Linked DNA regions of Tamandua tetradactyla. The protein of the gene in region 3 interacts with the protein of the main gene of each other region in a pairwise test. Links are inferred from orthologs where the notes say so. Each region holds a gene or a part of one and is shown on either strand. Other genes may lie near its edges.

Evidence for each region.
Region 1: the proteins of NDEL1 (region 3) and ZNF197 interact in a two-hybrid assay, tested with the Homo sapiens proteins (2 studies listed by BioGRID and IntAct). The link is inferred for Tamandua tetradactyla from reciprocal best matches to the Homo sapiens genes NDEL1 and ZNF197.
Region 2: the proteins of NDEL1 (region 3) and CCHCR1 interact in binary tests that used the Homo sapiens proteins (3 or more experiments, as listed by UniProt). The link is inferred for Tamandua tetradactyla from reciprocal best matches to the Homo sapiens genes NDEL1 and CCHCR1.
Region 4: the proteins of NDEL1 (region 3) and MIS18A interact in binary tests that used the Homo sapiens proteins (3 or more experiments, as listed by UniProt). The link is inferred for Tamandua tetradactyla from reciprocal best matches to the Homo sapiens genes NDEL1 and MIS18A.

Annotation. Positions count from the first base shown.
Region 1 is NC_135341.1:42,317,973-42,325,278, forward strand, and holds the start of ZNF197 (zinc finger protein 197), read right to left. Parts: upstream 3,071-7,306; 5' UTR 2,938-3,070; intron 992-2,937; 5' UTR 920-991; intron 1-919. UniProt on the Homo sapiens protein: May be involved in transcriptional regulation.
Region 2 is NC_135331.1:86,079,117-86,086,278, forward strand, and holds the start of CCHCR1 (coiled-coil alpha-helical rod protein 1), read right to left. Parts: upstream 3,003-7,162; 5' UTR 2,448-3,002; coding exon 2,229-2,447; intron 1,936-2,228; coding exon 1,869-1,935; intron 1,791-1,868; coding exon 1,577-1,790; intron 1-1,576. Other genes in the region: TCF19 (transcription factor 19), read left to right, coding at 4,316-4,553, 5,478-6,048, 6,524-6,764. UniProt on the Homo sapiens protein: May be a regulator of keratinocyte proliferation or differentiation.
Region 3 is NC_135332.1:62,284,542-62,292,432, forward strand, and holds the start of NDEL1 (nuclear distribution protein nudE-like 1), read left to right. Parts: upstream 1-4,870; 5' UTR 4,871-5,038; intron 5,039-5,211; exon of another isoform or gene 5,212-5,887; intron 5,888-7,891. UniProt on the Homo sapiens protein: Required for organization of the cellular microtubule array and microtubule anchoring at the centrosome. May regulate microtubule organization at least in part by targeting the microtubule severing protein KATNA1 to the centrosome.
Region 4 is NC_135336.1:92,330,868-92,338,606, forward strand, and holds the start of MIS18A (protein Mis18-alpha), read right to left. Parts: upstream 3,070-7,739; 5' UTR 2,995-3,069; coding exon 2,649-2,994; intron 1-2,648. UniProt on the Homo sapiens protein: Required for recruitment of CENPA to centromeres and normal chromosome segregation during mitosis.

The DNA.
Region 1 (7,306 bases), on a different chromosome or scaffold from region 3:
GGACCTCTCTGTTTTAATTTGCATTTCCATTGAGATTGATAAGGAATAATCTCTCATGTCTAAATGACCTCGTGGATGACTTCTCTGGTTTGTTCTTGAGTTTATGGCAGTTTTCATTGCCATAATAACATGGTTTTAAATCACTTCTGTGCAAATTCGCCTACTGTGAGTGGTTCTTTTGCCAAGATGATGGGATGACTGAACTCTGGTATGACACTATAATCAAACCGAACCTGCAAAGTCATGTGCAGGTGGGGGATGCCGTCTCCCCTGAAGGAGGTGGTCATTCCAGTTATACAACACCGTGGGTAAAATTAGGTTTGTATAAAGGAAAGTGAAACTCTAAATCTCTTTTTGGCCCTCAGTCTCTTAGGTTTGAACTTAAAGAGTTGATACCCCTATATAGGAACTAAAGCTGGAACTAGGCTCCACAAGGGAAAGAAGGCCATATCTGTATGGATACCATGTATACATAGCACCTAACCTAAAGCTGGAGTCATACTAGATTCTAGAAAAATGTTTGTTGAGTGAGCAAGGTACATTATTCTGTTTTATTTCTGTATGTTTTCTCCTGGCTTTCATTAAACTCTTGGCTAAATATCTCAGCCTCTATTCATTCATTTGATCACTGGTTAACTGAATGCCTACCATGCAGCAGACACTAAGCACTTGGGTCTTAAGTAAAGGGTAAAGTCCTTGGTCTCATGGAACATACATTTCCAGTGGGGAGAGACAGAAAATAAATACATATAAAACATAGGTAGGTAGTCATAAGTGCTAAGAAGAGGTTGAGGAGAGAAGGAGAAACCAACAAAGAGTGAGAAGCAGTGGCCACATCAAAAAATAGTACTTTGTGGATCTCAAAGCATGAATGGGTAGATTTTGAAATAGTAATCCATTTGGTCCTTGCTGTCCCTACCTAAATTATTTTACGTGCAACCGGAAGCTCTCTTCTTCTCCCCTTCATCTCCAGGTAGACAGGTGGTATTCTCTATGGGAGTTGAAACAAAGATGAAGACAGTACTGTTAGACTAACAGAAGTCTTTGGGACACTGGAAGGCATTCTTGCCTAAACAAGTGTTTCTGCTGGGGAAGAAGAAAGAAATTAGAAAAGCCAAGCTGACCAGTTAGGCTGCAGAACACTGACTCAATGCCCCAAACAAACAATATCCTGAAAGCATGTCACCACAGAGTTATCAGCTGGTAAGGACCACCTACTGCCCCAGTGATTATTGGGTTTTTATTTGTTTGTTTGTTTCAGTAGTGTTGGTACCTGAAAGGTTTTGAAGGTGAAAGAGAGAAGAGGCAGACCAAGAAACCTTAGAGTGAGCGAGTTTATTCCTGTGCTCCCGGGCAGCGCTCACAGAACTCAAGGTAGGGAGTTGTGAGTTTGACGCTGGGCTGGGTCCTGGTGCGGGCGGTTTTTAAGCAAGGGGGTTAGGTGATGTCTAGAAGGGGCGGCACATTTTACACAGCTCGAGTCATGGTGACCTTCCCCATTCCCCCGACCTAACAGTACCATCTAGTTTTGTCATGCACTTTGTCTGTACTCTGAGATTTGGCCTGGTGCTTATTTGAGAGGACTCTGGGATGGTTCCTGGGGGACTGGAGGATGGAGATGCCTGTGGAGGTACTTTAGAGACGTTAGGAGGACAACACTCAGTTGTACAGGGAGCAGTTTGGAAAGTGATTTCTTGGAAATAATAGGTGAGGATTAAAAAAAAAAAAGCCTACAAAACCCAGATATGAGGACTATAAGGAACTTGGGGGACATTCTGATCTGTCCTCTAGTCCTGTTAAACATTAGGGAGTTCTGAAGGGACAGAAATTCTATAAGTGTGATGCATGTGGCAAAGCTTTCAATCAGAACCCATGCCTTATTGGCCTTCAGAAAATCCATACTGGAGAGAAACACTAATATAACGAGTGTGGTAAGATCTTTACACAGACATTTCCATCTAGGGTATCTTTTATCTCAGACATAGTAATTTTCATCTCTAAAGTTCAGTTTGGGTCTTTTTTATATCTTCTATTGTCTCTGCTTAACATGTTCAATCTTTCTTCTGAGTTTTTGATTATGTAATAGATAGTTATATTAACTTTAAGGATCTTATAATGGTTCTAATATCTATATCAGTTCTTGGTCAGTTTTCATTTATTAATTTCCTCATTATGGACTGTGTTTTCCTGTTGTTCTTATGCCTGGCAATTCTTTTTTTCTTGCATGGGCAGGCACCGGGAATCGAACCCAGGTCTCCGGCATGGCAGGTGAGAACTCTGCCTGCTGAACCACCATGGCCCGCCCATGCCTGGTAATTTTTTTACAGGAGGCCAGACATTTTGAATTTTACCTGATTGTTGGCAGGGTATTTTTGTATGCCTATAATTATTCTTGGGCTCTTCATGGGGGTGCAGGAGGGAGTGGGGGGTCGTGGTGGCAGGATACAGTTAAATTACTTGGAAAGTTTGATCCTCTTAGGTCTGGCTTTTAAGATTTGTTAGGTAAGATCACAATGGCATTGAATCAAGTTCTGATTATTTCTACTACTGCGGCAAGAACGTTCTTGCCTCTTAATTCAGAGTTTTAATCCCATTAGTTAAGGTGTTATTTCATTCTGGCTGGTGGGAACAGAAACTCTTGGCCCTGTTTGCCCTCTCGATGCAGTTCCCTCTAGTTTGGTGGAGTGGTTCTTTTCTCCATACTTGGGAAGTTTCCTCACACTCACGTGCAGAATAGTACTGTATTGATTACTTCGGCATGATTCTCTACAGGTCCCCTCATTTTGCAGCTTTCTGTACTGTATTCTTCCAAGTGAACGCTCACTTCTCTCTCTTCTCAACTTAGGGAATCCTCTGGACTCCACCTGAGTTCCCACATCTTGTGCTGTTGCCTGCAACACCTTCTAGACTATAAACTGGGACAATTATAGTACCCACCTTGTTTGTGTACAGTTTCTTGAGCATCACTATCCTTCATTGCTTGGTGTCCAGAGTCTTTGAAAACCACTGGTGAAACTTTTGTTTCATACATTCCTGTCTTGATTTTTAGTTGTTTCAGTAAATCCAGTCCATCTTGCCTGGAAGTGGAAGTTGAGTCAATGCCTTTATTATGAGGAGAAATCGTGCATTGTAAACAAGAGAATACACAATGGAAAGAACTCCTAAGAACAACTAGTGGGACTACGTTCACATAGTACGTGACCTTATTCACTGTTACAGAGATACTGAGAATGCTCTGAATATGGAAATACTTTTTCCTCTAAGAGTAAGCTTGTAAGCTTACTCAGTCCATAAAGGGCTGAAACCCAATGATTGAAAGGAGTGTGGAAGGAAATAAACCTTACAGAACATTTGTAAATCTATCAGGGAGAGATAAGTAGAATAAGCAATAAGAAAGTAGAAAGTGGATGCCGTTCAGAAAACAGTGAGAATTCAATTACTCATCTTAGCTGAATCTCCTTCATGAAGCTCTGTTCTCCATTGGGTTTTACTGAAACTTAATGACTTCACTACATAGTACCAACTTTATAACTCTTATAACATTATCATAAATTTGATTTTTGAAAAATTATACCACTGCTCCAAAACTGTCTTAGAATAGTCTAGGCTTGGATTCTGTGATATGTTTTGACAATCACTCTGCATATTCATTCCAGCTTTGCCTTCACTTTATTAGTTTTGCATTCAGGCTCTTTCTCTGTTCCTCAGAATTTTATACACAGTTGGTAAAATATGCTGTCTCTTGGCCAGGAGCATCTGGTCTTGAATTTAGTGTTATTGAAGGCAAAGTAGAAAGGATGACCTATAATTTATGCTGAATGAGCACCTTAATTTATCAAGTGACCACAAGTGACAGGCACACAAACTGCTGCTATCACTTTTTGAAGTTGGCTGGACTTTGCTAATAGACAGGATTTCTGGGAGGCCTCAAAGTTAAATCCTGTCTAGGAAGAGGAGGAAGGGTTCTGAAAGGCAGAGAGTTTCAAGGTGTACAAGTTGTTGCAGTTCAAAAAGGTGCATATAGAAATGGGGTAGTGTCTGTGATGGTTAAGTTCATGTGTCAACTTGGCCAGGTGATGGTGGCCAGGTGATGGTCCAAGAACTGGCCTGACGGTTACTGTGAAAACATTTTGTGAACTTATATCATCAGTCAATTGATTGCATCTATTACTAATTACACCTATGATCAACTAACGGGAGTGCCTTCCAGAATGAGAGATATTTAATCCAATCAATTGAAGTCTTTTAAGGCAGAGGTGATAACTTTAGCAGTTAGAAGAGACAACTTTAATCTCTAATTCAGCCAACCAGTCTGTCCTGGGGAATTCATTGAAGATCCTTATCGGAGTGCCAGTGTGCAGCCTGCCCTATGGGATTTAGACTCATGCATCCTCACCCTTGCATGAGACACTTTTATAAAGTCTCATAATATTTGTATTTATCTCCTGTTAGTTCTGTTTCCCTAGAGACCCTTGACTAATACAGTGTCTAAGGAAGGGATGATTGACTGCCACTTGGGCAGGTTCTTACATAGTGACTGCATTTGCTAAGTTTACCTGGACCAGGGTTGGTCCTCTGCCTTGCAGGTCTAGAAACCAAATCTGATTCTTTTTAAAGATCCTGTGGGGGATATACTTTCAGTGAATTTAGTAAGACCTTCATTATGCCCCCTACCCCAAAGTCCAGGCTTTTTAGTAAATTCACTAAATTAGATAGTTTCCATGGAGAGGTGTCTCTACCCATTCAAGGTGGGTTTGCTTACTGGAGCCCTTTAAGAGGGAACCCTTTTGGAAAAAGCTTTAGAGTCATCAGGACCAACAGAGCCACCAGAATCGACAGAGTCCACACTGCCAGAGACCTTTGGAGATGAAGAAGGAAAACACCCATGGGGGAGCTTCTTGAAATAAGAAGCCAGGAGAGAAAGCTAGCAGAGTCACCATGTGCCTTCCTTGCTGAGAGAGAACCCCCTGAACTTCATCAGCCTTTCTTGAGTGAAGGTAACCTCTTGTTGGTGCCTTAATTTGGACATTTTCATGGCTTTAGAACTGTAAACTTGCAACTTAATAAATTCCCATTTTTAAAAGCCATTCCATTTCTGGTATATCACATTGCAGCAGCGATGTGTGTAGATGTTCTACAAATTAGAACAACCTAGAACCACCAAAGGCTGGAAGAGGGAAAGAATGGATTCTCCTGTACAGTCTTCTGAGGGAGTGCCACCGTGCCAACACTGATTTCTTACCTTGAGAAATGAGAGAATAAATTCCTGTTGCTTTAATCCTGGTGTGCTATTGTTATAGCAGCCCAAGGAATCTAATACAGTTTGCTTATCTATAATCGAGGAAACAGAGGCCCGGTGATTTTATTTATTGGTAAATATATGCAAAGTCTGGTTTCTCCTTGAGTTGCGTTTCTCAAACATTGAGGAACCATCAAACTGTTGTCTGAAGCAGCTCACCATTTTTATTACTACCAGCAATGCCCAAAAGTTCCAATTTCTATATATCCTCACCAACACTTATTATTATCCTTATTCTTAAAAAATAATAGCCATCCTCATGGATGTGAAGTGGTATCTAATTGTGTTTTTTTAATTTCTGTGTTTTTTTTCCTTTTTCCTTTTTTTTCTTTTTTTGCATGATCAGGCACTGGGAAACAAACCCGGGTCTCCCTGGCATGGCAGGCGAGAACTCTGCCTGCTGAGCACCATGGCCCACCCCAAATTGTGGTTTAGATTTGCATTTCCTTAATGGCTAATGATGTTGAGCATCTTTTCATGTAGTTGTCAGCTATTTGCATATTGTTTTGGAGAAATGTCTATTCAGGTCCTTTGCCTATTTTTAAAATTGTTTTGTTGTTGATCAGTAGGAGTTCTTTATACATTCTGGATATTAAGCCTTTATAGGAGGTTTGATTTATGAGTATTTTCTCCAATTCTGTAGGTTGTCTTTTCACTTTCTTGATAATGTCATTTGATGCGCAAAATTTTTAATTTTGATGAAGTCCAATTTATCTATTCTTCAATTTTGTTACTTATACTTTTGGTGTAAAGTCTAAGAAACCATTGTCTAATACAACATTGTGAAGGTGTTCCCCTATGTTTTCTTCTAGGAATTTTATAGTTTTAGTTCTTATGATTAGGTCTTCGATCATTTTGAGTTAATTTTTGTATACAGTGTGATGTAGAGTCCAATTTCATTGTTTTGCATGTGGATATCCAGTTCTTCCAGCACCATTTTTTGCAGACTATTCTTTCCCCATTGGGTGCACTTGGCACCCCTGTCCAAAATCAGATGTGAGGGCTTATTTCTAAACTTTCAGTGGTATTCCATTAGTCTATATGTCTGTCCTTATGCCTGTACCACACTGCCATGTTTACTTTAACTTTGCATTGTTTTAAAACTGAGAAGTCTGAGTCCCCCAATTTTTAAAACTTTTTTATTATATAATTATAATATATATATATCTTCAAATCAAAGAAATAAAAAAGCAATAATTTTTCGAAGCACACTTCAACAAATAGTTATGGAACAGATCCAAGAATTTGTCATGGGCTACTGTTCCATCATCTCAGATTTTTCCTTCTTGCTGCTCCAAAACACTGGAAGCTAGAAAGAATAATATAATCATTCAGCAGCATACTTGTTTGTTAAATCCCATTTTCTCTGTTATACCTCCTTCTTAACCTTTAATCCTTCTCCCAATCTATAGAGATCTTTGGGGAATGTCTGCTCAGACTTTTTCTTGTTGAGAAGGGTGTCTACACTAAAGAATAGGTGGATGTGATTAAATGATATCCTGGAGAGGCTGATCCATCCGAGTTTTAGGATTTATCTGACCTAGAAACTCTCTGGGAATTTTATGTTCCAGGAAGGCAAACTTAGTGAATGAAACCTTTATAGAGTCTTAGCCCTAGGTGTTGTTAAGAGTTAACAGGAGTGATGGTGATTGGTGTTTAGCAAACCATGACAATTAGCAGTATCTAACTGAAGCTTACATAAGAGCAACCTCCAGAATAGACTTTTGATCTCTCTTGACCACTGATGCCTTATTCTGTTACACTTATTTCCCCCCTTTTGGTTAGGAAGGCATTGTTGATTCCATGCTGCCAGGGCCAGACTCATTCCTGGGAGTCATGCCCCACATTGTCAGGAGATTTTCACCCGAGTGGCTTGAACTATGTAGAGGGAACAGCAACGATTTTCCTTGCAGAGTTGGGCTTTGAGATACAGAGGCTACATTTGAGCAACAAAGAGACTTCCTAGAAACAATTCTTAGGCCTCATTATGGGTAGCCCTAGCTTCTT
Region 2 (7,162 bases), on a different chromosome or scaffold from region 3:
TACACTTCAGCCAGTAGTTACAGAATAGATCCCAGACTTTGTCATGGGTTGCTACTCCATCACCTCAGATTTTTCCTTCTAGCTGCTCCCAAACACTGGAGGCTAGATGGAATATTAATATAGTGATTCAGCAGTCATACTTCTCTGTTAAATCCTATTTACTCTGTTATACCTCCTCTTTCTTCCATGATCCCTCTCCCAATCCATAAGGATCCCTGGGCAAAGCCCATTCTGACTTTTTTCATGTTGAGAAGTGGTGCAGACACTAAAGGACAGGGGGATATAATTAATTGATAATTGTGGAGTGGTTGGTCACTCTGGGTTTCAAGATTTCTCAGACCTAGGAACCCTCTGGGAATCATAGGTTCCAGGAAAGCAAACTCAGTGCACGAAACCTTTATAGAGTCTTAACATTTCTTAACATCTCTTCTTAAGAAATGTTCATCAGCTGAACATTAGGGTTGCTACTGCCTACCGTATTTGGCTATCTGGATGCTGCTGCTATGACCACTGGTGTACAAATACCTACCTGAGTCCATGTTTTTTCCTTTTGAGTACATACCAAGCAGTGGGACTGCCAAGCCTTATGATAATTTTTAGTTAACTTTTTGATGCACCACCAAACTGTTTTCTACAGTAGCTGAACCATTTTACATTTCCATCAACAAAGTACAAAGGTTCCTGTTTCTCCACATCATTGACAACACTTGCTATTTTTTATTTTTAATAAGCTATTCTAATGGGTGTGAAGTGGTATCTCATTGTGGTTTTGATTTTAATTTCCTTAATGGCTAATGATGAGCATCTTTTCATGTGCCTTTTAAGAGAAATGTCTATTAAAGTCCATTTTTCATTTGGGTTGTCTTTTTGTTGTTGAGTTGCAGGATTTCTTTTTATATTCTGGATCTTAAACCATTATCAGATACATGACTTCCCAATATTTTCTCCCAATCAGTAGGTTGTCTTCACTTTCTTGATAATGTTCTATGATGCACAACAATTTTTAATTTTGATGAAGCCCAATTTACCCATTTGTTTGTTTTGTTGCTCATGATTTTGGGGTGAACTGACCTAAGATTTTAAACTCCTTAATATCAGGATCTCGCCCATTCATCTTTGTTATCTCATCCCTAGTCTCCAGCAACTTCCTTACTATTTATAGTTTGTAGGCACCGAAGAACTGGTTATGTAAAAGTGAATAAATTATATTGATTACATTCACGATGGTATCTTACCATCACCACCATCCATTAGCAAAACTTTATACCACTGAATTGTGTATGTGAAAGTGATTAAAATGGGAAATGTTATGTTGTATATATATATATATTTGGGGGGGGGGGGTGCATGGTCCAGGAATCAAACTCGGCTCTCCCTCATGGAAGGCAAGCATTCTACCACCTAACCACCTGTGCACCCTATTGTATACATTTTTAAAAGAAAAAAAAAACTCAAGTGATAGAAAAAGGAAGAAAAAAATTATGGAACCAACTGCTGACACAGGGTAAGGAATCTATTCTGGTAAAACAGAGTCTTCGGTGAGCAAGCTAAGGAAATGGTGATGCCAGATGCCTACCTGTCTCTCCGTGCTGGCTCCTGCCCATCGCCAGAAGCAGATCGTTCCCACATGTCCGCCTGCAGTCTCTGGTTGTCTAGCCGCCTCTCTGAGACCTCTTGTTGGGCCAGGGATTGCACCAGGGGAATGTCCGAGACCCAGGTAGAAGCCATTCTTGGCACAGAATGAAGGGGCCGAGCTTGGAAGTGGGATGGAGGAATTAGCCTAGTGGAACCTGAGGAATCACAAGGGCACAGGTGGTCAGTTTCCCAAGGAGAGGTCATCACCAGTCCCCTAGTCTGGTCCCACTGACCTGAAGTTCGAAACATCTCTGCACTTTCTGAAGGCTCTAGATTCTGTCTCCAGCCATCCATGATCCCCTGAACAACAGGAAAAACAAGGACATTCCAATTCAGTTTTCACACCCCTTCCAAAGAGAAAGCCCCTATGATAAAGTTATCCTTCCTAAATAATAACTGGTCCACCCGACATTCAGCTTCTCTTCTCCTAGTTTCCAAAAGGAGAAACCCCCAAGATCACCTCTTTGTCCCACCCTGATTCCTGACAGAACCCTGGCAATAACATGAGGTGGGGGGGGGGGGGATTTACTGACACAAGCTGAGGAAAGCTCTTAGGTTCTACTCATATTCCTAGTATTTTGGGCAGTCTTTACCCTCCTCCTTAAGTTTCTAGAGTCCCTGCTGGTCCTGCAGGTCTGAGGTGAGAGAGGGCGCACGGAGTGCAGGCGCTGTGAGCCCAACCTCCAGAGTTCTCTCCATGGCTCAGCCAGGCCTTGAGGAAGCCCATCCAGACACCACCAAGCCATGACTCCTGGGTCCTTCCCTATGAAAGCACTGGCCCAAGGCCTGGCTGCAGACGAGTGCCACCACATGTAGGGCTAGATGCCTCCCCAGGATCCCTGGGAATCCACACAGCCCTAGACCCCTTGACAGAAAGGCCAGCTGTCTGCCATTTCACTGAATCCCTTTCTGCAATTCTCCTTTCAGTTTCTCTCTATTATCCCCTCAGTTTCCATTCCTATTGCCCACTCTCCCCTCTTCGGAGTCTCAGGGTAAGAGTGGGCTCTTCAAGATCTCACCTCCACCATCCCACCCGAATTGATCTATTTTTTTCTAGAGCCTGAGATTCATACCCCACTCCCTCCCTAGTCCTAATCTGTTTTTTTCCTGAAGAAATTATCCTTGTCCGTCACTCTCACCCTCATCTACCGGCTCAAAGATGCCTGCTCTCGTCTCCCTACACTCTCGATTCTCACCCCCGCTCTTCTCCGATACCCCAGTTATCCCCGCGCCTACAGCCGGCTGGATTCCGAGATCTAAGGCTGTTCTGACCACCCTATCTGTTCCTTTACCAGGCCCCTGAACCTTCTTCCCGATGGACCCCTTGTACCCACCCCCACACCCCAGCCAGCCCCTTCCCGCCCACAACCGACCCTTCCCACCCCCAACCGACTACGCCCAAACGCTCCTTACCCTGCGCACGCGCCACTTCCCCACCCCACCCCACCCCACCCCTCAGGCCACCGCCACCTCTCTAGGTTCCCGGGCCAAGGCCGCCTCCTCTTACTGCGCCTGCGCAGAGCGGGCGGGTTGGCGGGAGGCTCAGAAGACTAGTTCACCCCGGAAGGGGGCGGAGAAAAGGAGCACGCAAGCGTAGTAGCGTCTAAAACTGGGGCCAATAAAGGTGTTCTAGCACCTCCGCGCCCTGACGGCTCCTCCCAACTCCGGGAACCCGGGAAACTTAGTGAACTAATCAGAAAACGCGGAAAGCGGGAGCTCGGGCCTCCCTGTGTGCCGCCCAATGGAGTGGAGCAACGCCGAATGGGCTGGCCAATCATGAGCGGCCAGAGGGGCGTGGCCCCTCGGCGCGGCGTTCACCCGGGAACTCCGAGGGCGGGGTCGCGCGCTGCCCGCGCTCGGAGGCCCCGCCCCACCGGCCAGTGCCTCCTCGCTGTCAAACAGCTGCCGGAGCGCCAGAGACCGCTGCACCGGCTGGTAGCTCATGGAGGACAAACCGCTCTGAGATTATACTGAGCGGGCCAGGAGAGAAAAGGTCGGGTTTGAATTGTATGATCTCTGGGAGCTCCTGCAGTTTTTATCCCGCGGAGAAGCCGTAAAGGTGAGCTTTTAGATCCGTTTTGTTAGTTAATTTAGGAACCGGTTTGCACTACCTTTTCAAGGTGACAGTAGATTCACTTACCGCGGGGTTCCAAATTAACTAGTTACAAGTGAGGAATTGGCCAGAAAAGGGAGGCGCAGGCGAGCGGGAGGGGTACTCCTTTTGGATAAACAGGTTTGACAGGAAGACGCTTCTTTCTCCAAGTTACACTGTGATACGCTGGTATTGTTCAGAAGCAGGACCCCCAGTTTGCATTTCCTCAGAAGTTGTCTATTGTATCATTGTCTTGCACAGATCAGAGGCTCCCCGAATATTTTGCGGCCTGAGAATCGGCTCATCTGCGGTGCCATAAGGCGTGTTCCTGGTTTTGCGTTGTACCAGGAACCCCACCCGAATTTTTCAGTTGCACAGTTGCTAGACAGCAAATTTTGCATTGCATACGTCGGCTGCTTACACTGATTTTGCACTACTCAGGGAGTGTGCTTGAAGTTGAAACTGCACAAAGTACAATTTAAGTTCGCATCAGATTGAGAAGTGAACTTGAACCACCGTGCCTGGCCCAGGAGTGGGAAGGGTGATGAATTCCTGAAGTGGAAGCTGTGGTGTGGAGGGGCACCGCCCATGCTGCCCTGCTTCCAGCTGCTGCGCATAGGGGGCGGCCGAGGTGGTGATCTCTACACCTTCCACCCACCCACGGGGGCTGGCTGCACCTATCGCTTGGGCTGCCGGGCAGACCTGTGTGATGTGGCCCTGCGGCCCCAGGAGGAACCCGGCCTCATCTCTGGGGTCCACGCAGAGCTGCATGCTGAGCGCCGGGGCGATGACTGGAGGGTCAGCCTGGAGGACCACAGCAGCCATGGTGAGCAGGACGTCCTTGCTCCTGAGCCCCCCCCCCCCCCAGGTCCAAGCTAAGAGGATTAAGGATCCCCTTGCCACCCTCCCATTGGGCATTTAGGGTCCAGACCTACATATTCCCATCAGAAGTGTGCAGTGTCAAGAGTCCCCTCCAGAGGGTCCTGTTTAGCCCCTACAGGGGGCTGGGAAGTAGATCCAGGGCCTAGGACATCAGTAGAGAAGTGTCACAGTGGGGATGTTCTGGGGCCATTGAGAGCCAAACTCAGTCTTGATCCCATTTCCAGCTTTGCTGAGGCACCTCGTTCCTTCCTGCTTTTCATTGAATTCTATTTTAATGCTTTGGGCCTGTGTATTTTTCCCTAACTCAGTTACAGTCTCAGTCTCAGAAGGGCTTGTCACTGGTTTCTGGCCTGTCGTGTCACCTCTTAGATGTTGGGGCTGTTGTGGGGATTACATAATTACAGTAGCCAATATTTTTCGTACCCACTGTTTACATGCATTGAATGTAGGTGGGCACTGATGACCATTCCTATTTTACAGACGAGAAAAATGAGGCACAAAGAGGTTAAGAAACTTGTCGACGCTGACAAGTGGTAGAGCTGGGGCTTGAACACCATCTGCTGCTGACCTGTGCTGTCCTTTAGTTGAGTTGGGTGAGAGTGAGCCCCTGTCTGAGATTAGGACTCAGCAGAGTCCATTCCCTCCATGTGCCCCAAGAAAAATGAATTTGTTCCCAGCTTACAAGGAGCTTATTATCTGGTGTCATTCGCTGAGGGGTTTAGAATGTGAGGGAGGAAAGAATGACAGGGTTCCATGTTCTTACTAGACCCCAAAAAATCTAACAGATGTTTTCCCACTCCTGATTCTGGATTTTTTTTTCCGGGTTTTGTTTTGCCATTCTCTTCATCTGCCTGGTCCCCACCAACAGGAACCTTGGTCAACAATGTCCGACTCCCAAAGGGTCACAGGCTGGAGTTGAGTGATGGTGACCTCCTGACCTTTGGCCCTGAAGGACCCCCAGGAAACAGTCCCTCCGAGTTCTACTTCATGTTCCAACAAGTCCGAGTGAAACCTCAGGACTTTGCTGCCATCACCATCCCACGATCTAGGGGAGAAGTGGGGACTGGGGGTGGTTTCCGGCCCATGCTGCCCTCCCAGGGGGCTCCGCAGCGGCCCATCAGTACCCTCTCCCCTGCCCCAAAGGCCACGCTGATCCTCAACTCCATCGGCAGCCTCAGCAAGCTCCAGCACCAGCCCCTCACCTTCTCCCGGAGTGGGGGTGGGAGGGAGCCACAGAGCTTGCCCCCTCCCACTCTCTGCGGGGAAGTGGGGGGCTCCCCTTCTGCCCCACCCCCAGCCCCCAGAAACCGGAGGAAATCAGCCCACCGAGTGCTGGCAGAATTGGATGATGAAAGGGGGGCCCCTGAGAGCCCCCCACCAGTCTACATAGAGCCCAGGAAGAAACTACGCGGAGAGAAGGCACCACTGACACCCAATGGGTGAGTGAAGAGTCCTGTCTCTCCTGCCTTTTTGAGTCCCAGGCTGAGGCGTGGGAGAGGTAGACTGGTGGAATAGAACAGCAAAACCTGGGTCAACTCTATTAACGGGGGGGAAAAAAAATCCATAGGAGCAATTGAGGTAGGTGGGATGGGGGAATGGCTATAAAACTAGATTGGGCAAGTGGGCAGGCATTAGGGTCCCACCTTTTACTTTCATACAGCTTTAACCCTATTTTTGAGTGCCTGAGGATGGGGGATTTCTGGGCTCACTCTGTAAGGTTTTCAGGGACTGATTTCTAGCCCCACCCTACATGTTCAGGGGACAGTTTCCAAGTTTACATTACAGAGCTTATCTGGGTCCACCCTACAGGCTTTCCAAGTTTCCGGGTCACCCTGGGTTCACCAGGGGCAAATCCTAGGCTCCCAGGTTTCCAGTGACCCTGGTTTTTGTGTCTTCCCCTTCAACTTCCTTCAGAAATCGTCGTGGGCGTCCTCGGAAGCACCCAGTGACTGTCCCCATGGCTCCCCCTGCAGTTGGGGGCGGGGAGCCCTGTGCAGCCCCCCGCTGCAGCCTGCCCCAAGAAGAGACAGTGGCCTGGGTTCAGTGTGATGGTTGTGATGTGTGGTTCCATGTGGCCTGTGTGGGCTGCAGCATCCAGGCTGCCAGGGAGGCAGACTTCCGGTGCCCGGGGTGCCGTGCTGGCACACAGACCTAAGGCCCATCACCACAGCACCAGAGGACGCAGAGCTGGGAACTCCAGGCCAGGGGTGGACAGTGGGGTGGGAACGAGTCCTTAAAAATGCCCCTTCTTCCCTTCCCTCCCCAGGAGGGAGTGACTCCAGGGAAGAAGGGTCCCTTGCCATGGATCCTGACTCAGGGCCTGCAACAGGTCCTCATGGCCAAGGTGACAGAAGAGAGCTGGTTGCCTGTCAGACTTTGCCTCCAGGAAGTTGTTGCCAGTGAACTGGAAATTCCCATTGCTACAGAATGTAGAGGCTTGTTAGCAGGGACACCAGAACGTCTGGGCACAGAGCATCGATCAATTACAGTGGCCATGCCTGAAAAGACTGTCATAAGATCTGGACAATTCCTTGAAATTGAAAATCCACACAG
Region 3 (7,891 bases):
GATGAGGGCTCTTGCCTTCCAGGTACCAGCATATCATGTGCCCCAACCTAAGTTGTCCACATTTTCCTCACCTCCAAGAGCCATCTTTAAGAAAGCTTCAAGGCCTGCTAAGGGTGAAAGCACCTGGCCAGGGCTCCTGAGGTCAGGAGCAGCTGCATTCTCAGACAGGTGCGATGGGAAGGAGGCTTGGAGCCTACAATTCCTCAGCGCAAATTCATCTCTACCCAGTTCCTGAGGTTCTGTTGTACAGCCAACCGGAGTTTGAAATTTATGGGACAGATTCTGCTGGAGGAACCGAGTTTGGGACCCTCGAGGAAGTCACTGGTGAGCGCCATTTGCTCCAGAAGCTGCCGAGGATGCAATAAAGACAACAGATGGAGCTTTGCTTTCTTTTCAAGGTGGTGCAGGGGCAGCCCAGCCTGGGGCTGTCTGGGCCGAGCAAGGGTCAGGGGCCAACCAGAAGTGGGCATTTTAAAACCAAACATGAGGGCGTTGTGGTGGTGGCTCAGTGGTAGAATTCTCCCCTGCCATGCCAGAGACCCCCACTGAAGGCTGTGGCATTCTGTAGCCCACCTACACTCAACAAATATTTGTTGTTGGCCTTCTCTTGACCTGTACTATGATAGAAAGTAGGATGAACCTCTCTATTTAAGGCATCTGCACATATTTTTACATTCTTATTCAATTCCACATTTCTGTTGTATTTTTTACAGCAGACTTCTATTTTAAGGGCCTCGATCCTATTTTTACCGAGGGAGCCGCCCCCATTGGAGCTTAACATGGTTATTTTTCTTCATAGCACTTTCCATGACCTGGCAAAATATATTTACTTATTGCCTGTCTTTCCCTAAGACTCTAAGCTTAGTGGGGTGCTTTTTATGCACCTACAATGGTGCCTATAGCTGTTGAATGAAAGATTTTCCTCTTTCTGTAAAGCTCTTCACACTCACGCCAAGGTTCAAGGTATACAGATTTTTTAAATTAGAAAGAAACCTATTAATACTATCTCTTATGACAAAAACAAAAGATGCTGCACTGGGGACATGGGTTCCGATACTGTAGACTCGGGTTTAGCTTTGGGCTGGAGAAAAGTTGTAATTGCCTGTGACTCTAATGCCTGCCCCTCTGTTACCTGGCATCACCCAAGTTTAGCCTTTCCTACCAGTGAAACCTCATCTGTCTATGGTGATTGTTTTCAAGATTTGGGGCATTCCCTGGAAAGTTCCATCAGTCCTGTATTTGGACTTATAGGCACTAAACCTTCGAGTCATTCTTTTACTTTCATTGAGGCTTATTAAGCGAGTGTTGGCTACATGCCTGTTTCTTGGGGGTGGATATCAGAACAATCAGCACTGTCCCTGCACTCAGTGAGGTTCCTTGGGGGAGAATGGACACCTCCAGGACCAAAAGGCTGTATTCACGAGCCTCCTGTAAACTGTGCAAGGCTCTACTTGAGCTCAGAGGGCTTTGGATATCAGGGAAGTCTTCCTGGAGGAGGTGGGATATGAGTGGGATTTCAACAGGCAGAGGGGGTGGGAAGGGCTAGCCAGGGTGGCAATCAATAAAAGACAGGCCAAGAGAGGAAGGGAACCTCTCTTGGGGAAGGAGGCTGAGGGTCTGGTTGGGCCACAGAGGTGAACTATAGGATGTAAACTGAAGAAGTGGGTTAGTGTCGCTCTGGGTGAGCCTTAAATGACCGACTGTGTGGTTTGTACTTTTTCACAATGGCATCAGGATACCAAAGCAAGTTTTGGAGCCAGGGATGCTTGTTGCAAAGTGGGATTTTAGGAAGATTATTCTGAGGGTTGTTGGTGGACTGCTTGGGTAGAACCCAGAAATTCAAAGAAGAAATTTGAGGGAGAGAAGTTTTGGGAGGGAGAGAAAGAAATAGGAGACTTTGGACTGGGAAGACATGGGGAGGGGGAAAACACTGACAAATGAATGGATTTGTTTGACAGAGCTTATGAAGGGCATTTGGTGACTGTATGAATGAAGTGGGAGCTGGGGAAGGCGATAATTTGGGGCAATTTGACAAGGGCTTTGTGCCTCAGTGACTAGAAGGATGATGCAGTGGCAGAAAATGAAAATCATTTTGGAAATTTTGGATAGGGCAAAAGGAGGATCTGTTTGGGTTTTAGACACAGAGAACTAGAGATGGTGATGGTATAATAGGTGGACATATCCAGCAGGCCAGTAGCAACCAATCAGCCATCTGGTCCCTTGTCCATTCTGATCCCTGCCCTGAGCTGAGGGCTGGAGGCCCTTCAAGCTTAGCAGAAACTACTGATCAAAGGAATATGGAGAGATGAGGCTGAATCAAGCCCTTGATGACTTTGAGGTGTCTGGTTCATCTGACTCAACAGAGAGTTAAATATGTCCCATATCTTCCACGTTTTCCTAACAGGCCTATGTGCATCCCATCACCATTTGGGAATGTGATGTGGCCAAAAGTCCTCATTTGGAGTTTGAGGTTGTATCCAGGCCCAGTTGAGCCCTGCCCCACTCGGGGGTAGTACCTGGCCTCTGTTTCCTATGTCTCAGAATTTGGGGCGGGGAAGATATTGGGGTGCTCATGAATATTCTGAGAGGCTGTACCATTGACTCCCTTGGTTCCAGCCAAGAAAGACCTTTTTCTGGGACCCATGCCTTTGCAACCCCCTTCATAATGGTTTTGAAGGCAGAAAGGTGAGGCAGCCCACTTCCACATTGGCTGATTTTTAACTTCTATTCCCTTTTGAGGCTGTCTTCAGTGTTCATTTCCACTTTATTTTCCCTGGATGGGCATACTGGAGGCAGGGGTAGGGCAAAGGGAGCTCGCTGTTACTGGTCCTGCCCTGCCCCCTGGGTCCTCCTCTCAGGGAGAAAGTCAACCAGCAGGGACATGGAGATCAGTGCAGTGCCTTCGGCATCTCTGAGAACCCTGCCAAGCAAAGCCCTTTAATTAAGATGGGGCCAACACAGCAGTCCTGGCAAACATCAGTTCTGCATCCAGCTAGGTGGGAGGGGCGGTGGCTGGAAGATGATGCCATTGTTTTCTGAGGGGCCTGGCCTGCCATTAGGTGACTCAGTAAGTTTCCCAGCACCTTGGCCAGGAGGCAGGGACAAGACTGCAGCTTTATCTATTTTTTTCCTTTTAGGGTGGGACTGCTCTGCTTTGGCACTTGGTTCACAGGAAAGTGTTCAGTAATCATCCCCATGCCTGTGATCCCTGCAGAGACCGATAGCCTGCATGAGCTTCTATGGTGTCCCAGGCCCCAGACCTTGGGGGTAATACCTGCTTAGGTTTAACCCCCAGCTCCTCTTTACCTCTCTGGACCTCGTTTTTTCCAATATGTAAAATGGATGCAATAAGTCCAGCCTCACAGGCTTGTTGTGAGTGCAAATGAGACAATGTGTGTAAAGTGCTTAGCTCTGTGCTCTAGCCCAATAAATGGCAGTTACTATTATTATTATTATTCTCCTTTCTTGAGCTATTAGATAGTGGTGGTTAATGGTGAGGTTTCTGGACTGAGATGATCCAGACTCAGTGGGTTTGAATCTTGAGTTGTCCTCTTTCTAGTTGAGTGACCTTGGGCAACTTCACCTCGCCGAGTTTCAGTTTCCTCATCTGTAAAATGGGGATAATAACAGTCCCCATTTCACAGGGTCATTGTGAGGATTAAATAATGCAGGTCTAGTGTTTAGCACAATTGCCAGCACATAAAGATTGCACCAAAAAAGTGAACTACCATTACTATGATTATCATTTTTTCAACCCTATATCTGTCAGAGTCTAGATTAAGGTGTCATCTTTCTCACAAATTCATTAACCACTTCTCTGATCTTCATTGATTTGGGCACTTCTTGCAATCCATTTTGCATTGTTTCTGTTCATGTCCATCTCCTTCAAAAGGGCCTCCAGGATCACCTTGCCATTTCCTTGAGGCTTGTCTTACAAATAATTTTTTGGGTCCAAAAAACCTCAAGAATCCAATCCCCAAAGCACTGAAATAAGAATTACACTGTATATTACACAGCAAATGTTACTAAAATTGTTTTTAAAACAGTTCTCTTCCTCCAAATTTTCACTCCCTAAACAGCTGACCATCTCCGTTTTTCCCCTGTCTGAGCTACCTCTCCCTGCAGAATATATATATATATTCTGGGTTCTTTTGGGATCTGAGAGAGATGAATACACATTCATACACACATGACTCAGCACATATTTAAGTAAATATGTGCCCAGATATATACAATATAAAAATAAACATATATATGAATCCTCATGGGACCCCCAACAAATCCATTCATTCATTCAACAAATATTTGAGTTCTCATTGTGTCTGGGACAAAGCTATCAGTTGGGATAAAGAAGGCATAAGAGGTTTCATTTTTCACGGAACTTAAATTCTATTTGAGGAAGAAAAGGACAAATACACAATTTTGCCAGTGGAAGTGCTGGAAAGACAACACAGAGCTTAATGAGCGCGATTACGGGGAATTAGAAAACTATTCTGTTCTATTGGGTGATCGGGGATGGTCTGGGAGGTGAAATATGCGTCGACCTTCATTTTATAAGTGGGGACACTGGAACTTGGGCACTTAAAGGCCTTGGAGGCTAAAAACAGGAAGGCGGCCTCCCAACTGCTCTACAGTGGTGCCACTTCGCCGAACCGCAGATTGTTTCGGTGAACCTTGTCAAGTCCAAGCCGGGTTCCCTGCGGGTCCGAAGCGCTTGCGCAGAAGGACACCACCTGTCTGACGTCAACGCGCCGGGTCCAGACCCGCCCCCCTGTGACGCCCTCCTTGCCACCGCCCAGCCCCGTACGCTCTTGCGCTTGCGCGCATGCTCCGAGCCCCGCCTCCGAGCGTCACAGAATGGCCTCGGACACCCAGGCAATCTCTGACGTGTCGGGGAGGAGCCGGGCGCCGAGGTGCGCGGAGTGGAGCTCAGGGCTGTGGAGAGGAGCGGAGCTGAGCGGCTGGGCGGGCCTGGCCAGGCCAGCGGAGCAGAGACGCGGGTCGAGCGGCGGCGAACATGCGCTTTTGACACATTGAGGTGAGCCTGCTGTGCTCGGGGCGCTCCCGCGGGGGCCGGGCCAGGCTGACGGCGCCGAGGCCTGTCCCTGGGGATCCCGCGGCACCGGGAGCTGCGCCTGAGGCCCCGCCGGGCCGGGCCGGGGCCGGGGTTCGGGACGGCCAGTCCGGGGGGTGGGCAACTGTTTCAACCGCTCTAACTGTCCCCTCCTCGCTCTGGACCGAGGTGCGGCCCGCTAGGGACGCCTGAAAGGGAGCGAGCACAGCGGCCTCTGGAGGAGGTGCCGCGGTCCCAGGGTGGGGTGAGGAACGGAGACCGGACGTGGCCCCGTGGGCCGGGGCGCTGGTGGCGCAAGGAGTAGCCCTGTTAGAGGTGGCAGCGGCGCGCCCAACCCTCCACCCCCCTTAAGAAAAAAAAAGAAAGAAAGAAAAACCTCATCTGGGAGGTTTGGAGCCGGGTTGGGTTTGGAGTCCTCAGCGCAGCTTTCCCGCGGGGGGCGGGGACGGAAGCTGCTTCGGGGCTCGGATGGCATTGCCATGACTCCCCCCCGGATCTGCTGAACATCTCTTTCGGAGATCAGGAAAGTGTTATCATATGGGTTCGAGTTGCTTGTGCTCGTTCCTTTCAGGTTGGTAAGCAACGAGATAACCCTTTAAGTTTTGCCAAGGAAGTGAAGGTTCATTTTTCACGACTGATTGTTACGTTCCATTTCCGTGGCTCGTGTACACCCCTTAGAACCCTCTTGCCAACATCCTTTGATCCTCATCATCCTTTGGTTGTGACTGATTCTGTTAGCGCCTTAACGGATGGGGAAATGGAGCCTGCTGGGGGAGAGATGTTAAGTGATTTATACTTGGGTACAACCAGCTGGTGAGTGGCTTAGCTTGGCTCAGAACTTAGGTCTCCAAGCTTGGAGTTCTGATTTCTTTTCAACTGACTTTGATACCCTTCTCGGCTAGGAAGCGAGGCAGAAAATTTGACTTGTCAAAAGATGGAATACCAGAAGCTAGTAGATAACTTACTGAAATATTTTTGAGCGCACTGAAATGGCTAGTATAAAAACCGCCACTCAGTTATGAGAAAAATCCTACTCTGAGGCTTATTCGTAGGTTGTTGGTTAGTTATTTTGTCTGATTAATTGTGTTGTTTTAAATCGATTTATGAAGTAGGGTAGTATTAGCTGAGTCTTGAAATGAATTAGTTGGTGGGGACAAAATGCAGCTTTAAGTTATGAGTTGAAGAGAAGTAAAGGGGAACTGAGTGAGGTATCTCTTCTGAATTATTATAAAATTATTATTTAAGCAAAAAGACACTTTTGGCTGGCTTTGGTTATAGGTTGGTCAGGTCCGGATTCTATATAGAATTTGCTCAGTCTTTGAAGCTGTAGTTCTGTTTTGACTTTAAATAATTGAAGTTGGATAAGGAATGCTTAAAATAGCTAGATACCTTGGTAGAAATTTAGTTCGTACTTTGGTGACATCTGCAAAATTTATTCTCATTTTAAACCATGCTGAGATAAATTTGATTACTAAAGCTTAAAATTACTTCTGACATGAATTTCTAGCACATCAAACAGTAATAAAAGAAGTTTGATAGGACCGAAAGGGAGGCCATATTTATAATCAACTTGAAAAGTTAAAAATTCTCCAAGAATTCTGGTAAAAACTCACGTATTACCTACAGTGAACTCCAGAAGTACTCTTTCAGCCTCAATAATTCATTCTACAACTATTAGCAAGAAGATAATATGCAAAATAGATTTTCTTACCATTGTGCAGAGTAGTTTCCTTGTAAATATAGCATTGTAGACAGAGTGTTTTATACTCGAATGGGTTGATTTGAGTCACTGAATAGCTGAAGGTCATTCACAGGATGGTAAAGCCTGATGTAAAATTTGTGATACTTTTGCCATCCGTTGAGACATGGTACTAGTGGAAGATTGGGGGGAAGGGTAAGTATATAATTATCTGCCTTCATTTCAGTGTCAGAACATTGTGGATGTACCATTAAAGCATTTCTTTAGCAGTATATTTTTCTGTATTGGCTAACTTTCTATAGCTTTACTATCTCTAGTTACATAGATTCAAATAACATGGTGAACACATCCTCCCACTGTAACTTGAAGCACTTTGAACATTCTGTTTTTAAAGCCCCTGAAACATTCCTTTGAATATCTGCCGTCATAGCAAATTTTTGTCATTTTATGAAGAGTCTAATTTTTAGAAAGGGTAAGTCTGATGAATAAAATTAGAGTGATAAAGCTATATAATACCAGTCAGGAAACGATACAAATGAAATCTGACCGCAAAGTAAGAACTTTTTGTTTAGTTCTTAACATGGCTCTTAAAAGCTATTTCAAAAGGGAAATTTTTAAAATGTTTTCGCTAATGGTAGTATCACTGGAATATGCATATAGTTTCCTGAATTTTAAGGAATTATTTCTATGTTAGAATTTTGAAGCATATTTACTTTGTGCTTACACTTCATAGATTAACTTCTGAATCATCAGTCTACTACTTAACGTACATTTGTGCTGTGTTTACTATGTGCCAGGCTCTATTCTAAGTACTTTGCAAATATTAACTCAGTTTTTAAATTAATTTTAATTATTCTCATTTTACAAGTGAGGAAATGGGGCACTGAGTGGTTGAGTAACTTTCCCAAGTTTGTTGAACTAGTAAGTGAAATCTGAATTAAAACTCAAATTAGTTTTAGAGTTTAGTCGTGTAACCACTATGCTGTCCTGTACCTGTGGTTCCCGGTCAAATGTTTTTACTGGAAAAGAAGGAAGTAATTTAAGTAAAATTTTCAGATGTAGTTTATAATACTGTTTGAGTGGCCAGTAAGCAAGTTTACAAGATTGACTAGAAAAAT
Region 4 (7,739 bases), on a different chromosome or scaffold from region 3:
CAGCTGGAACCAGAAAGAGAAAGGACACCACTACCTGACAGGAAAGCCAAAAAACCCAGGGACTGCCTACCAGAACATTACTGATCCGGGAAGGAAGCAAGCCTTCCAGCCTCTAAAACAGCAAGACAGTAGATTCCTGCTGTTTAAGCCAAACTCACTGTGTGGCTTTTGTCACAGCAGCTGACAAACTGAGACAAGGTTAAGGGATGGAGGAAAATGAGGCAGGAACCTATCAGACCTAACATGGCCAAAACGGACTCATGATTTCACCTCCTCCTACAGTCTACCTTAACTCAGTAAAATGTTACCACCAGCCACCCAGTTGCTCAAATCAGGAAACCTAGAGTCATCTGTGATTCTTCCATCTCATCCTGCTCTCCCATACCAGCTCTACTTAAATCTTGTCCATTCTACCTCACAAACTTCTCTCCAATGTATTCTCTTTCCCATCCACAAACCACAACCAACACCTCTTGCTCAGTCTACTGTACTAGCTCCAAACTGGCCTACCAATTTCACATTTGTTCCTCCCTTCAATGCTTCCTCAGAGACAAAATAAAATCTGAATCATTTCACCCCATCTTACCAGCCACTAGAATCAAGCCCTATTCCTTAGAATAGCCTACAAGGACACGAATTTTTTGTCCCCTTAAAGATTTAACTTTAAATCTTAACTTCATTCGATTCTTCAGCCACAGTAGCTGCAAGGACTTTCTTTCCATTAGTTGTTCCCTATGCCTAGAAAAAGCAAAAAGCATGACCAAAAAATTGTACTTGCAGCCAAGTTGACATCCATGTATAAAGACAACAGAAAGATATTTTCAAGCACTCAAACCTGGAGTTTTCTTGGAGAAAGTGTACTCATTTATGACTAATCAAAACATGTAATTCAAGAATGGGAACTGTTAGGCGTACTTGAATTAAGAAATGAATTCACATAAATATTACACTACAATTAAGGGACCCACGAATTAAAGCTACAGAATAGAATGTAAATGCTATGATCTTGACATAGTAAAATAATTTAACTTAAACTGGGACAGAAGGGAAAAAAGGGAATGGGAATTAATGTCTTCGTCTTTCATGGGGGGGGGAATCTATTCTAGAATTGTCTTCAGTTGATCAATTACTGCACACAAGTACTGTCCCCATTTTACAGAGGAGGATACTGAGGTATACAGACATTCATTAAGGAGCTTGCCCAGGGTTACAGACAGTAAGTGGCAGGGCCAGAATTCTAACAGGAGCAGGCCAGTGGCTCCACCACACTATATCAACACTCAGCAAGAAGCTGCTCAAAAATGAAATGTATCTATATACATCAATATGAAAAAAGATTCAGAACATATATGTGGAATAAAGAAAAGAAGATGCATAAGAGGATGAATGATTTCAAGTGTTTTTAAAAAGACATGTCAAAACATACTCACATGCATGGAATGTATATGGAAGTATAAATGAAACTAAAGCATTCTGAAGACTGCGACATGGCAATGTATTGGGGGTTGGTGGAAGGATCCTTTTTACTTTTATACTCTTCTTCACTGTTTGATTTTAATAGGTGCTAAAGGTTAATCCCAATGCATCACTCATGAAATCTATATGTTCTTAGGTTTATATTTAACTACTGTAGAGGACTCAGCAATAAGTGTTAATCAGCATCTGTATTGAAAATGGCAGAAAAAAGATTTCCTTCCCAAAATTACAGTCCAGAAAACATTCTCCCTACAAACGTCAATGAATTGATGATGTATTTCTACCACTAAAATATTTGTAGAATTTAAACAAGAACTTCAGAGAATAGACCTCATCTTGAAAAACCACAGGTCCAAAAGAATGCTGTTTTTATACCAACTCAGAAAAAAAGAACCACATAAAACCACTCTTTAAAACAAATACTGTGGCCCATGCACTTCCCAAAAAGAAAAAAACAATTCAACAGATAGTGCTGCAATAATAAAATAATCACATGGAAAAAGACTGAAATGTGACCCCCACCATACAGCAAATAAATAAATAAAACACTGCAGAAGCGACAAACTGAGTTGAGTACTGCCTTCCTCTTAATTCTTTCACTCCCTCCTCTTCTTCAGTTTTGATGGGGATGTTGGTGTCTTTACTGCAAGCCTTTCTTTTACCACAGCACTATTTTGTCTGCTAAGGCTGTTAACACTTGGAACTGTAAAAATATTCGCTGATACAAGCAGTAAGATCTGAGAAATCAATCTTGACATTCCTCCGCAGGAAGCAGCTAGCTAAAAAGCTTGATTTCTTAAACCACTAACAAATACTATCTATTAATTAATTAGCAGCCCCCTAGTGTCTATGGAGAGTAAGATCCAATGGCTACACCCCAAACGCTTACAATCTAGTTGGCAACTGATTTCTTAGTTAACGCTCACAAAGATGCTTATTCAACCCCTACTCTTCAGCGATGAAGGACACCAGAAAAGGACCCAGTTCTCGTGAGCCCGAGGTATAGGGGTGACTTTCCCCTTCCCTCTTTCCTAGATTATCTCACTCTTTTAGATTTCTCTGCCTTTAAAGTCCCAGGGCGGCCCCCCAAAAAACCCCCTCCTCCTCCCCGGCCGCGCTGGTAAGGAACACCCAAGAGGGCGGCCCCAAGTCCCCAGCCAGCCCGGACTCACTGCGCAGCAGGATGCAGTTGGTGTCCTCCTGGCTTGACACCCAGCTCAGCGAGTCGCCCAGCGGCCGCCGACAGCCGGAGCACAGGAACACCAGCGGCCTCTCCGTCTCCTCCTCGTCAGCCTCCGCCATCTCCTCGGGCCGCGTCTCCTCCGCGCCGGCCGCCCGCTGGTTCCCGCTCAAGGAGCTCCACATGCCCGCCCACTTCTGCAGCAGCAGGTGGCGGCTCGAGTCCTCTGAAAGCCGTCTACCCAAGAGCGAGGAGTCGCTCCACTTGCCCTTAACGTCACACGCACAGCTAGGGGAGGAACAGCCTCTACAGCAACCGAGTGACGAAGAGCCCGCCATTACCTACGAACTGCCCGCGCCTTAGAGCACCAAGGGAAAATCGTCATTGCGCGTGCGTGGGGCGGGGCGAGGCGAAGCTGGCCGAGATGGGCTGACGTCTGAGGGCGGGGCCTGACGGCGGAGCCTGCTAGCGCGCATGCGTAGTGGTCACTGCGCCTGTAGCTCATTTTTCATGTTTAAGAAATTGAGTTTGGGGAAGGTTGGGGGATGGTTTGCTTTCAGAAAATAACCGGCCCCAAACTAAATCACCAACCCTTGGCGAGGACCTTCCGATTGGTTAGTAACAGCAACCAATCTCTCCTTCAGCAACCCCACTTCCTCTGTGACCTTTTCTCTCCTTGCAATAAAGCAACCGCCACGAACTTGAGCGTGCAGAAGAATTACTTGGAGAACTGATTGAAACATAGATCTCCTTCACAGATTCTGTTTCTTAGGGGCCCTGTCATTTGCATTTTAACAAACTCCCTCGGTGTCCATGTTGCCAGTATTAGCAGATCCACTTTTATTTTAATTTTTTTATTACAGCAACAACTTTTCTCTTAAGATTATGTTCATGTATTTTCGTATGCATTTCTCTTTTTTAACATTTTTTATTGTGAAATATAACATATACACAAAAAAGCAATACATTTCAAAGCACACTGTTACAAGTAGTTACAGAACAGATTTCAGAGTTTGAAATGGGTTAGTTTTCCACAATTTTAGGGTTTTCCTTCCAGCTGTTTCAAGACACTGGAAACTAAACGAAATATCCATATAATGATTCTGCAGTCATACTCATTTTGTTAAATCCTATGTTCTCTATTGACACTCTTACTTCTCCATTGATCCTTCTCCCAATCTGGCAGATCCACTTTATTTTTTTAATTCAATATTTTGGCAGATCCACTTTTGAGTGCCTCCATTCTTTCAGTTTGTCTGATGAGACTGCAGGGAGGGTGGGGAGGCTTAGTTTGAAGTGGAGAAAGCAGGGGTTGTTGGGGAGCCACCTAATCCAAGTCATTCCTTTTGTTCATTGTTGTTCCTGAAATAAGACCCTGGAAAGGACCTCAGGTCATTCAAACTAGCACTGTAAGGAAAAAGTTAGAGAAGAAGCTGCTTGGGCAGTGTGGTGCTGGAAAGCTTGGAAGTGTTTCAGCAGTCAGAAGCAGACAGCTGTTTGCCCCTTCCAGCGGGTGAGCATGCTGTTAAGTAAAATAAAATGGCCACCTGGATTAAGTGTCCAGGAAGGATCCTCTTTCCCAGAACAGCTTTTCCAGAAGACAAAAACAATTGACCTGCAGAGGCTTTCAGAGAAAATGGAACACATCCCTACAGAGTTGCAGATTAGCAACACATGGTGATAACCCAGTTTCTTCGATCTGGTAGAGATTGCTTATCAGAATGGACAAGCTTCCCATACTAATCAATGTATATATGCTCTGCGTTTTGTAGGATGCAACCCCCACCGCACATGACATGGAAACTTGATGCTAGCCAATAAGAACACTTCCTTGCTTGCTTCAGGTTGCCCTATATAAACTCCCTCTTTCTACCCCGTTGGTGGAGCTCCCTTCTTTCTGAATGGAATTCTGCCCGATTCATGAATTTCAATAAAGCTGTGAGATCCTAAATTACATGAAAAGTTTTTTGTTTTTAATAATCTTTCTTGGGTAGTAAGGACAGATTTCTTCAGTTACCCCAGAAAGCCAGACTCTGACTTAAATGCATGACAGGTCAGAGGAGAAAGACTGGTAGAAAAGAAGCCAAGCTGTACTGCAGACCACCTGGCAGCATAGAAGAGGAAAAAGGCACCCCCCAGGACCTACGCTCCTTATAACTACTCTTTGGTGTTTTGATTAAGTGCCCCAAGTCACTGCCACTCTGCTTGATCAGATAGACCATTTACATAAACTTTCTTCCAATTTTAGTGCCTTTGGCCCCTAGCAAAGAGCAAAAGTTATAAAGTCAGATGTTCTAGTTTGACATACTCCTCCACCAGGTAATAACTGTGTGGATAACTGTGAAAAAAAAAGCCATTTGCCTTCAATGAATCTCATATTTCATCAGTTAAATCGGTCCTTACTGCCTGGCATCTTAAGAGGATTAAAGGATATTACAGACATGAACATACACCCACTCTCTACTGCACCATACTGGTGTTAACTAATTTCCAACTGCAAGTAAATACTCCAAATAGATACTCCTTTTTTCACCCATAGAATTGCCTTCCTTCCCTCTGCTTCTTTTGGGAAGCTCAGCCTGAGCTTCTTGCTTTTTTGAAACATGGTATCTCTGGTACAACACTGTAACCCGCAATGTCCTCTTTAAGTAAGTGGGTGGTAACTTTGTAATTCAAGGGATGATTATCTTTGCCTCAGACTTTGGATTCCTATTGTCAACACTTCAATTCTGTGGTGAGATATCCTAGTAAAGAAGAAACACAAAACAGGGCCCCATGATAACTTTCAGGGGCCCTAGGCACCTTGCTTTGGTGGGTCCCTTCCCTCCAAAAAAAAGTAAATGAAAAATTAAAAGTTACATTTTGTGATTGCATTGTTATAAAGACAAATATGTTCACATTATATATGAAAATATTTTCTTTGACCTAAGAGTTTGAGTTTTTTTCCTTCAGATTTTAAAAGAAATCAAAACATTTTCACTGGCCTCTAAAAATATCGTGGGCTCAGAATACTGTGCCTCCTGTGCCTTTTGGAGAATTTGGCCTTAAAACAAAACAAATTCCTCTAGAGTCACAAGTATGCTTGTATTATGAATATAAAGTACTTAGGTTCCAAAAAAAAAATCACATTTTATGTGAGGGCAAACTTGGATGCTTGAGGGAAGAAGACCTTGGATTGGGTAGTTATTGCCTCCTGAACCTCCATTTCTACTCTTCCTTCTAGTTACCCAGCTAGGAGGTTTGGGCAAGACCAAGTCCAACCCCAGCTACCTCCTCCACCACCACCACCCAAATGCCAAGAATGGCTCCCCAGTGGTTTGACCTAATCAGGATGATCCATTTCTCTTCTGTAATGATTGGTAGAAGGATGGCACCTACCCCAGACTGAAGCCAATCTGATTATAGGGATTGGCTCATGGGTGAGCACTTGCCCAATCAGAGTAAATCTCAGTAACACCTTGTTCAACGGTTGAGGGAAGAGATGTCCTCTTGGTGAACAAAAAAGCACATACCCAGGTTGCTTTAGGCAACCATCTTATAAAACAAGGAGAAGGGTAGAGTTGAGAAAATCATGAAGAAACTGAGCATCCAACTTATGAACTCTTTCAGTTATGTGAGCCAACAGAATCTCTCTATTGTGGAAGCCAGCTTGAGCAGTTTTGTGTTGTTTGCTCGTAATTACTAGCAACAAAAATGTATTTAACAGTGCATTAAAGTTTATATTTTACTGAGACTCCAAAAGGAGGTGAAAATGAAATGCCCAAGTGCCAATGAGATAGTGTTCTCCTCCCCTGGTGGAAACTTCAGAGTAAATATCTGAGAGCTATTTCCTTTCTGCTCTTGAACCTCCTCCTGCCTTGGAGGACATAAAGGATGGGAGAAAATGGAGATCAAAATTACTTAGTGAGGATTTCCTTGGAGGTTGCTGAGCTGTAAGTTCCATCACTCCTCCCCAAGAGAGAAGGTGGAAGGTACCTGCCACTTGCTCAACTTGGCAGAGAGGAGGCTTTGAGGAACCATTCATAGAAACTGTGGTTTCCCAGGAATCTGGGGACAAAATGGCCAGCAAGAAAGCCAGGCTGTTGAGCTGTCTAAATGGCAAAATAAAGGTGAGTCTGAGCGGCTGTAAACCAGATCTAAACTTTGCTGATTGTAAGGCAACATAGAACCGTTTTAAGATCTGCCCAAGAAGAAAACTTGGAAGGATGAAGGCTTTCCAGCAATAAGTGTCCTGGTGTGAAAAGGGTCTCTGGACAACCAGGGCTGAGAGGAGAAGCCAGCCCAAGGGTGGACCTCCCTAGATCATAGGAATGCTGGGGGGCCCAACAAAGAATCTCTGAGGGGCCAACAGGAGTCACTTCTAACCATGTATCAGACCAGAGGGTGCAAAACCAGCATATGACTGAACCAGTTCAAGTAGAAACCATCCTGTTCCCTTCATTCCCTGAAATGTCAGCCTAGATGGCCATGGAAACAAGAGGAAGGAGGTGAAGTAAGAAAGGGAAGAGCTAGTCACACACCCTCCTCCCACACAAGGTGGAAGCCCACCTGTAAGTCCTATCTAGGGGAGGGGAAAATGATTATCCTTGAATGAAGATTCAATGTGAATTAATGCCTTGGAATGTATGCTATTGTGTCTTCGTAGTGATTCTGTTTGCAACTAAAGTGGCTGTCAATTGTGCACTTCCTGAGAGAATCATCACAAAAAACAGGTGGCACATTCAAATTTCAGTATTATGAGAACAGTTTCTTTACAGTGTTGAATGACAAAAGTGGAGACAGCATGTGGGACAACCCCAAAGATTACTGCAGGAGCTTGGGTCACTGGCATTGAAGCTGACACTGTCCCTCAACCCACAAGATGCAGGGAGAGAGATGGTACAGAAACCCAGAAGTAAAGAGCTGTGAAGAGTTTGCTACCTTATAAGGACACTTTTCCATGGAGGGACACACCAGGTGAGTGACCTCACAGAACATGCTGAGAATTGGATCATGTCCCCCACAAGACATGTTCACATCTCAACCCCTAGTCCTGTGGGTAATAGCTCACTTGTAAATGGAATCTTTACAGATGCTACTAAGA